2 linked regions of the Drosophila melanogaster genome follow. The protein of the gene in region 1 purifies or fractionates together with the protein of each later gene. This does not show direct contact. Each region holds a gene or a part of one and is shown on either strand. Other genes may lie near its edges.

Region 1 (5,165 bases):
TCTTTCGGGCACAGAATTTCACAGTTGGCATCTTCGAACTTCATCTTTGACTAACTTGGCTGGAGCCCCACCCTGGCGAATAATTGGCACTCGCCTCGAATTTAAATGATTCTGGCATTCCTTGAATGCACTGACAGAAACTCTGGCATCTCATGGGCTTGAAAGTACGAGAACCTCCCATTGAAGAATCTATTGATTTCTCAAATCAGCATATCGTTTTCTCTGCGTGTATCTTCCCAAAAGGAGCGGTTTAACCACCCCGCAGCTCATGACTAAAATTTAAACAGCTCCATAATAGTCGGCCGTAATAATTAATTGTTTGCTAATAAATATGAGTTTATATATGTATATAGGAAGAGCTCAAATAATAAAAAATAATAAGCGCACGCGCCGCGTCTCCAATGACTAAGTCTCCTTTCAGTCTTCGAGTACGCGATAAATGCGAATGTACATATATACGTATGTATCTAGATACGTAGTTCGAGTGTACGAGGTACACATACGAGTGCCGAGTATAAGTATAAATTGTAAATCAGATACGGCATAAATATTGAACACATGGCGCAGTAGTTTATACACCCAAGAGTTGTGGGTGTTCGATGGCTGCAGGGGGGGTGGGGGTGGGGTAGTTGAGGGGCACGGAAGGAACTGAACAAAATTGAAATAAAATAAAGCACCATAAAACGTACTTAAGATTGACGATTGTGTTTTTTGGGGGAGCGATCAATGAAAGAGTTTCGATGAAGACAATATATGGCAAGTACAGTTGAGCTCTTTTTTGGATTTGGGCATTCGTGTTGTCTGCAAAGGGTTATTGATAATTCTATGCTCTTCCCAATTTAGTTAATATTCTTTTATTACTAAATTATGAGGGAATTTTTGTGTCTGATTTCGAGACGGGGGAACAATCGAAGGAGCCAGAAAGCGACCGAAGAACGCGTTGAGTAAATGCACATTCTGGAATATTTATATAGTACATTTGAATATATATGTACTTGATTAGATATAATTGGCTGTCAGTATGTCTCTTGATCGCTCCACTCAATCGCACCAATACTCGGATTCGGATACCGAGCAACCGCACAGATACATTTTCGAAACAAACAAAATGTCGGCAGCTGCTTGTTGTGTTAGCTTATAAATTAAAACGCGTTTCATGGCATTATTATTTGATGGTTTTTTACTTTTTTTTTTTTCGTCTTATGGCTGCTCAATTCATTCGATTGTTCGTATATTCACATTCTTTTTAGCCCATTCGTACCCATATACCCCCGATATCGCTCACACCTCCTTCCCCCCCTTCTCCGCTCGGTTCATCTGTCCGCCTGTCTGCTAATTGAAAATCAATTAATGTGACTGCATCCTATAGCTGCTCATGTCAAAGTCAGATATCATCCAGGGTAGGGTAAATTCGATGGAATAAGGGAATGAAAACAAGAGAAGGAATTCAAGACTCAACGACTCAGATTCAGAATCCGAATCAGAATCCTTTTGTTTTCACTGACCTTACTGTCTGAAAACAAAAACCCAATTGATGTGCCCCAAGTAACACTCTGATAATTACCGAAAAACTCCAAATTTTTCGATTGCTTTCGACTTTGGCAGTATTCATCGCCAAGTTCATTGGGTTTTCGAGTGCGTCCCGCGAATCGCTTTCGTTTGGTGCGGAATTTGGCACAAGTTTTGTATGCTCAACTACTGGGAAGGCCAATCTGGGGCTTCTAATTCCACTGTGCGGGTAATTTGGGGACTCTTGCCAGTTACTAGTTACCTCCCAATACGAATCACTGATTTCTCACCTCCTGCCACTCGCTTCTTGCTTCCGTTGCAGGTCAACAAACAGTATTCGGCCACCGATCTGGAGGCTTTTATGAAGATTGCCGCCAACTGGCAAAATTCCAATCACAACTTGCTGGAGGGCGTCGACATAAAGACGGGTAAGTTAAACAAAACGAAGTGACCGTTGAAGGAACTTAATTCAATCATCGAATGCTTGCAGAAATGACACAGTACATGAACAGTCCTTCCATGAACATGTACAAGAAGAGGGAACGCACCCAGAACTGGAACCACCAGGAGAAGAAATACCTACTCGATCTGTGTCGCAAGGACATGCGCATTATCGAGAACAAGAGATTGGATGCCGGTCTGACCGCCGTGAAGAACAAGGCATGGAAGATTATCCACCAGAAGTTCTCCAATCAGTTTGGCACCGATCGCACCTGCAATCGCCTGAAGGAACAGTGGCGTCGCATGAAGGGTAAGTCTTTATAAAATACATATATTTAATGGCAAAGCTAACCTTTTCGATCTCATCCTTTAGCATGTACTCGCAACGAGATCCTGGACTACAATAATCGCCTGGCCAGGTTTGGAGCAGAGGTGGCCGATCGCAAGAAGCCATCTCCGTTCACCTTCGAGGTGTGGGATTTCATGCAGGAGGCGAAGAAGGCATGCAAATCGGAGGCCCTGGATGGCATTGATTACTCTAAGATTCCACTGGCCTTGGAGGAGGGTTTTGAGTATCGTGAGGATTACAAATTCAATCCCGAAGACCACGACATGGATGAGTAAGTTGATCGCTATGTGGTAGTCTGAATAGATCTTTATTGAGCATTCTCTATTTGAGCAGCAGCCGCACACCGCCGCAGGAACTGTGCGATGTGGACATCAAGGAGGAGGAGAACAACGAGACCTTCAACGAGACCTTCAACCATCACCACCTCAACCAGAGCGACATCCTTGGCAGCGGCGAGCGTCTCAGTGTGTCGCCTAATCACAGCATCAGTCGCAACGGGATCCACGAGGCCGAGAGTCCCGCCACGATTTCCACATCTAATGTCCTGGACTCGAGCGGTGCCTATATGGCCGGAGGAGGTGACATGTCCGGCTTCCAGGCCAACTTCAACATGAACAACATATCCGCCACGCTGGAGGCACTGAATGCCCTCCGTTCTGGCCAATTTCCCAGTGCAGCAGCAGCGGCAGCGGCCGCCATTCACCAGCACCAGGCACAGGCCCAGGTCGCCATGCATCACCAGCACAATAACAACAACAACAATAACAACAACAACGAGGACGACGAGGACAGCATGAAGCCGCAGTCTAAGAGACAGCGCACCAGCAGTGGTAGCATGTTGGGCAGCGAGGATCAGGCACCAGTCCTGGCCCCATCAGTGCCAGCATCCTCGGACTCGCAGGCCCTAGAGCGGTCCGGCAGCAGCAATGGATTGACCATGCCGGGAACGGCAGTCAGCACCAATGCCAACAGCAGCAGCAGCAACAACAACAACTTTGAGCTGCGCATGTTCATGGAGATGCAGAGCAAGGAGCACATGATGCGCATGAAGATCCTGGAGGTGCAGTTGCAGGCGGCAAAGCACAGTCGCGACCTAGTGGAGATCAACAAGACACTGGCGCTGCAGAAGCTGCAGTTGGAGCTGGCCAGCAAGCGACTGCCCAGTTAGGAGGCAGTGCAGCAGCAAAAGGAGCAGCAGCAGCAACAGCAGCAGCAGCCCATCGCCGTTTCATGTTACATTAGTTTATAGAAATAAAGCCTGTCAACTCGGTCACGTTCGCAGGCAGAGAGCGTGATTGGGAATCGACTAGAGTTAGCACTAGAGTTAGTCTTAAGTTGAAAGCAGGATCCACAGCTACACATCCAGACCCGACACACAGAGAGACATTCCTGGCATTGTTGATCAGTATTTGAAAGCTAGAAGCGAAACCCGACACACAGAACCGAACCCAAGAACCCCAGCGAGGATCAGGAGGCGCTCGGAAGTATGCCATAATCTTATGATGATGATGACGATGATGATGATGAATCGCCTACCTCACAAGCACACACACACACACACACACAATATGCACACACTCAGCTAGCAGACACACACACACAGACACACTCTCTTCTGGCCTAACCAGCACTTGACCAAGTCAAGTCAAGTTTAGTTAGTTTCTAGTTTTAGTTCGTATGGGAACCACTCTCTCCAAGTTGCTCAACTACCACAAATGTATTGTACTTACGTTCTTGACCTCTGCTACCCCACAACTAACGATTTGAACGAACATGAAATGCACACAAGATTATTTTTCATAGTCCTAAGAGAAGAACCTTATATATGTCAATGCATCATACACAATCGGCAGTTGTCTCTGATTTTGATTCTTACTTGAACTTGTATTTATTTGTATCTTTGTATAGACTATGTTGATATATATATGACCCTATATATGTTTGTTTCAATGCCATATTACATGAAAGTTCTTTTTAATTCATATTTTCCGTTTGCGCTGCAAAACAAATTGTTACCATATATAATATATGATATGTATGTACCCTACGTATAAGCAGGCTTGAAGAAGGCCGCCAACTCGGCTTCAGTTGTCGTAGAAGACTTCTTTGTAAAGCGTGTAAATGAGAGATACAAATTATTTTAAATAAAATACAAAACAAAACAAGCAAATGTTTCAGCTACACTTTATTAATTTTGTTCATGGTTCATCTGTGAGCCTTCGGTCTTGGTTTTTTCCAACGATTGTATCTGCTTATCCACCTTGATGATCTTTGTTGTGACTTCGTTCTTCTGGCTGAGAATCTTTTCTCGCAACGACTTCAGCTGTTCCCGTTGCTGGGTAAATTTGCAATTAAATTTAAATAGATTACTTTCGTTTTTTGAGATCACAAACCAACCAGTTTAAGGAAATGTATGTTCTCCTCCGCCCTGGCTTTTTCGAACAAATGCTTGGATATGTTCCTGGATACAGAGATGCATCTAATAAGCGAAGCCATAAGTGCTCAGAACACGGAACTCACTTGTTGGATTGTGAAAACTGACACATCCTGGGTCGCAACAGTTGGAAAAGCTTTTCGACCAACTTCAGCATTGTATCCTTACGGAGGAAGATAATTTGGAATTTACTATAGTAACTGATGAGGTATTTCAAGGTGGAATATTGACAAACTTAAAAGTGATAGCCTACCGTTTGATAGGTCATTTTTCGAGACTCTTTTTGAATTGCTCCAACAAATCCTTCAGAGCTTTCAATTCCTTTAGCAGATTCTCCTTGTGTTTCCTTGATTTGTGGCTAGTTTTGGATTCCAAAATCTTGATCTCCTCTTTCAATTTGACGATATCATTGGCGATTTCTTTAACCCTGTT
Region 2 (4,711 bases), on another chromosome or scaffold:
CTCTCCCGGCAAAAGTTAAATTATAAAATCGTCAAAAGTTGACGAAGACATTTTGCGCCTATGAAAACAAATACACGAGGAAAGTGCTCCACTAAAAAATAGGAGGGAAATGCGGGAGCAGGAGCCACTTAAGATGCTTAGCGCCATGGCAAGCGAAAATAATGACGCTCATAAAAACTAACTAAACACCAAAATAAAGCAAATATATATAGGTATATATATATATACATATATTTGTTGGGCTGGCTTTTTTAAGCTGGAACGACGCTCTCTGAATGACAACGATAATGATGTGCGATAATGTTTGTTGTTTCTTCGTTTGCTTATTTATTGTACTTATTCGTTTATTGTACTTTTTCATCCCACAGTGCTGGAAACAATGATAATGATAATAATGAAGATGTTATTGTGTTTCTCCTCTTTGTTGTTGTGCAATCTAAGACAACTGTCAAAGACTTTGCCAAAGGATTAGTCGACTCGGCGCCTTTCGCCCTGCTATACCCTGTAAAAGTTGCGCTAAGGATATATTACACATGGAGTAATTTGGATCAAATATGGGTTACCAATTTTTTTTTTTAATTTTTAATTTTTTTTAATATCATGTTGCATTTACGATAAAGAAATTTGCAACTGAGAGATTTTTTTTTGATTAATGACAAAAGGACATTTCAAGAAAAGCCTTTTTGAAATCGATTTAAAATTTAATTCATTTGTAAATGGTACTATAAAGAAGTTTTAAGTTAGGGATATATTAGGATATTAGGGATATTATCATATTAGGGTTTTGGAAATTGAAATATGAGGAGAAAATATATAATATAATAATATATAAGTAACATAATCTTTATAAAATTTGTTAACGTTTATAGTAGTATTTATTTTGGAAATTTTAAATCTACAACCATATAGCAATGATTTCAAACAATTCATGTAAATATTCTTCGAAATATTCATGCAAATTTGAAAGAAAGACTCCATGTAATCATCAAAAAGTAGCTTCCTACATTTTCTATAAACAACACAATAAGATACGGGGTATTCTCGCAGTCGCAACGAGTTTGTGTATCTCGTGACTGGTGTCTTTGCTCCTTGCCATTACTTTCGACCTGCTCCTATCGCAGTCGTAATTAAAATTGCACCAGACGTAGTGAAGTTTTGTACTTTCTTCGGCATCAGATAGTCCTGGAAGCCTCCCCTTCAATTTAATCGCTTTGACTGCATGCTGGTTGTAATTTATTTATTGCCGAAAATCGTACCCTCTACTCTTGATTTGCCCCTGCCGCCGCTCGTTGTATTTTTTAATTGATTAGAAACTCGAGTTTTGTTTTCTTTCTTTGCCTTCAATTGGCATCGAGCCAGGAAATTTTCAGCCTCATTGAATTTCTTTCGGTTTTTTTTCCACTCACCCTCTTGACTTTCTTTCTCGACTCGCCAATTTTAGCAAATTACTTTCTTGGCAAAACTTTTATATTTGTTGATTCATTTATTGCTAATGTCAAACGTTCGACTTGGTGAGCTGAACGACTGATATGAATCAGTGATAGCAATCAATTATGGTATCCAATTCATTTGCTTTTTTTTAAATTTAATTTAGTTTTATTTTAGCAAAGTTCATAAAAAATAAAAAATGAACAGCGAGAGCTTTGCATCCCAGTTGGCTGCGCTAACGCTTGTCAAATCGATTCAATATAGATTTTTAGTTGTAGTGTTTCCAAATCAGATTGTGTAACGTACATATAATTTTATAAAAGTTTATCAATTTTTCGGCTTATTGGTGGCAAAATTCTCAATGTGTTAACCTTTCGGCCGTACCGCGTCACTCTTCCATGCTTTTATCAATAATTCTTAAGAAGAAAATCTACAAAAAAATATACAAAGTATTTACCCCCACAAGACTACAAATGAAATAGCCCAGTTATCCGCTTTCGGCTACAAATTCTACAAGTGTAAAAAGGAAAATAAGAAGAAATATAGCAAATTCCCGCAGCAAGTGAAATAGGTGAGTGCAAGAAAGTTCTTCAAGTGTTCAGACCAAAAGCGGATATTCTAGTTGTCCTTGAGTGTGAATGGAAAGTGGGTTGGTGTGCTGTGAACTCGTCCTGTGTGCTGTGTGTGTGTGAGTGGGTGTGTGCGACACGGTGCTTGGGCTTCCACGCTGCATGACAGATTATCGCAAGGACCTTGCCGTCCTTTGAGTGTCCTCGACGGTTATTGAAATTGCTGCAATTGAGTTCGGAGTGCTCGAAGCTATTTAATTGCTGCCGCCTGCCTCCAAGAACTTGCTTTTCACCACTTCTGTCGAAGATGAGCTAACTATTTTGCTGATTTTTGGTGGATTTTAATCTTTATATCTCAGAAATATACTATCGAATATAATCATCTATACTTAATTTCAATATAAATGCTGGTAAATTTTTGAAAAGTGTATATAATATTGCTTAAAAAATGTTCAATATGTAAAACTCTTAAATGACTTATAGTTAGTTTCTAGTCCTTGTTCCATCCACTGTGTCTAATCGAAGCTTTTTGGCCATCTCTGGTTCGGGTCAATAGGAAAGGAGTAGGGAACAGAAGGAGCAGCTAAAAGTCCTCTTCTTTTTCCCGCAGGTGTTGTAAGCCAGCAACGAGTCCTGGAACTGAGCCAAAGCTGCTTTCTCTCAAGTGCTAACTAATTTCGTTGTTGTCCTTACCGCCTCTGCTCCACATCTCGGGCCCAAGGATGCTCTCTGCATCCTCGGGCTTAGCCTCATTCCCTGGCTCATCCTCATCATCGGCGTCTTCCTGCAGTTTCGTTTTTGGTGTCAGCAACATTTCTTCAACTGGTTTCGTTTGCCCTGCCAGTCAGGTTGTTGTCCTTTTTGGTCCTCTGTGTCCTTTATAGAGTTCTATGCGATTTTTCTCTTGTTTTTGATTTTTATTTTTTCATTTGCTCCTTCGTAGTGCAATCTTTTTGGCAAACTCTTGTGTGGCGCACAGTTGTTGACTCTGTTTCGGGGCCAAGCCAATTCCTTTTTGGCCTGGCCAAGTCATCTCTTGGCTTGTTTCGGCGTTTTATGCACTTGTGTGCTCCATACCTTTGGTCCACCCCTTTGCCAAATACGCTCTACACATATGATCTGGCTTCTGTTTCGAATTTTTATGGCCGTCGTCTCAGTTGTCCTTTCTTAACTTGGCCGAAAGTTGAGTTTCCTTCGTTGGGGCAAGATGTCTCATTTGGATCGTAACACTTAGCTTAATGTTTACGACGTTTGCCGTGAAAATAGTTTTCAACTGAAGTGAAATAGGAGGTTTTATAGTTTTGTTCGGGTGTATATTTTGCGAATAATAATGTTCCTCCTAATGACCACAAAAAAGGAATAAACGTTTCCTATATAGAAATTTTTTTTCTATTTCATAGAAAAAATCTTCTATTCTTCGATATGTTCAATTTCAGATCATAGCAACTCTTCATATATTTATCAGCTTTATAATTTTATGAAAAAAAGTAATATTTAAGTGAAATCTTTTTGCTTTCAAGATTTGAAATTAAATAAAGCTTTTATTAAAAGCTTTTGCGTCAAAGCTTCAACGTTGCTAATGGCAGAAGCTCTCTCAAGATCAGCTGTTTCTCAATGCCGAGCATGTGGTTGGTTTCGTTGTGAATGCCAAAAACAACAGCTGATCGCGCGGCGTGGCAGAGCGAAAAAGTAAAAATCTCTCTTCGTTTTTATCGAAATCGGCGCAGTTTCGCCTAATTTCTGCGGTGTTTTCGTGCAACACGACTGTTTGCCGATTGTAAATAGGTGTAAAACAACTTAAATGTGATTAATTTTGCAACTAAATCTGGACAAGTGAGTTGTTACGACATCGGTGCACCAAGTAAAGTTGTCTAACCCAAAATTTTCCCAGATAAAACGGCGAAAAACAAGTCAACTAAGAGAAGTTCTCTTCTTCAACGCCGATCTTCGCTCCAACATTTGCAACATTGATGGGGTTTTTTTTGTTTAAAAACATAGTTCGCAATTCTGATAAATTATTCGGAAATAAAACTCCAACTAGAGTTTCGCTATTGTCCAGATTTTGTGGCACTTCCTTGGCTGGTAAAATGGAGAAGGTTTATTTGAGAAATGCAAGTGATACCAAAGAATTGGACATTGTGTTTCGCTTTGTGAATGAGAATTTGAAAATAAACCGGGAATTCAATTTCCGTCGCCAGATGAATGAGCCCATTGATGCGATATTGGCCAGGATTCAGAGTAATATTATTGGCAGGCTTGCAAAGTCCTGCAAAAAATCAAAAATCAAACCGCCGGCAGAAATCAATGTTAAACTTCTGAGTGACAAATATGGTGAAAAATTCAATGAATTAACATTTGAGGATCTAGTCGTCACCCAAGATATCAGCAATGTAAAACTGCAGGTATTAGATACGGTCTACGATTTGGTGTTCAATCCACCGTGGATTTCATCCCTAAAATTTTTGCCCTCATGCATATTGGCAGGATTTGTAATATACCCCACCAATGTTCAGATACAATTCGGAGAACGTCAGTTCAGCAAAGCAGTTTGGTTCAAGGCCAAAAAGCCCACAGACACCGATTGGGAGGTGTGCGGAGAAGGATTTCAATATCTAGTGACTCCTGAGGATATTGGTTACCATTTGAAGTTCGTGGTGACGCCGGGTAATGCACTGGGAATGACGGGTCCTGTGGTGGAGAAGATAACCAACTCT

The links. The genes of interacting proteins can lie anywhere in the genome.
Region 2: the proteins of apt (region 1) and bru1 purify together in Drosophila melanogaster (affinity purification with western blotting, with the first as the bait; one study listed by BioGRID). This does not show direct contact.

What each region holds. Positions count from the first base shown.
Region 1 is NT_033778.4:23,595,061-23,600,225, forward strand, and holds apt (apontic), read left to right. Parts: upstream 1-1,531; 5' UTR 1,532-1,687; coding exon 1,688-1,738; intron 1,739-1,831; coding exon 1,832-1,937; intron 1,938-1,999; coding exon 2,000-2,260; intron 2,261-2,323; coding exon 2,324-2,570; intron 2,571-2,632; coding exon 2,633-3,467; 3' UTR 3,468-4,466; downstream 4,467-5,165. Other genes in the region: CG42560 (uncharacterized protein), read right to left, coding at 4,488-4,634, 4,697-4,760, 4,820-4,890; CG42559 (uncharacterized protein), read right to left, coding at 4,998-5,165.
Region 2 is NT_033779.5:12,204,132-12,208,842, forward strand, and holds the start of bru1 (bruno 1), read left to right. Parts: upstream 1-1,711; 5' UTR 1,712-1,999; intron 2,000-3,577; exon of another isoform or gene 3,578-4,084; coding exon of another isoform or gene 4,085-4,711. Other genes in the region: CG31759 (uncharacterized protein), read left to right, coding at 4,085-4,711.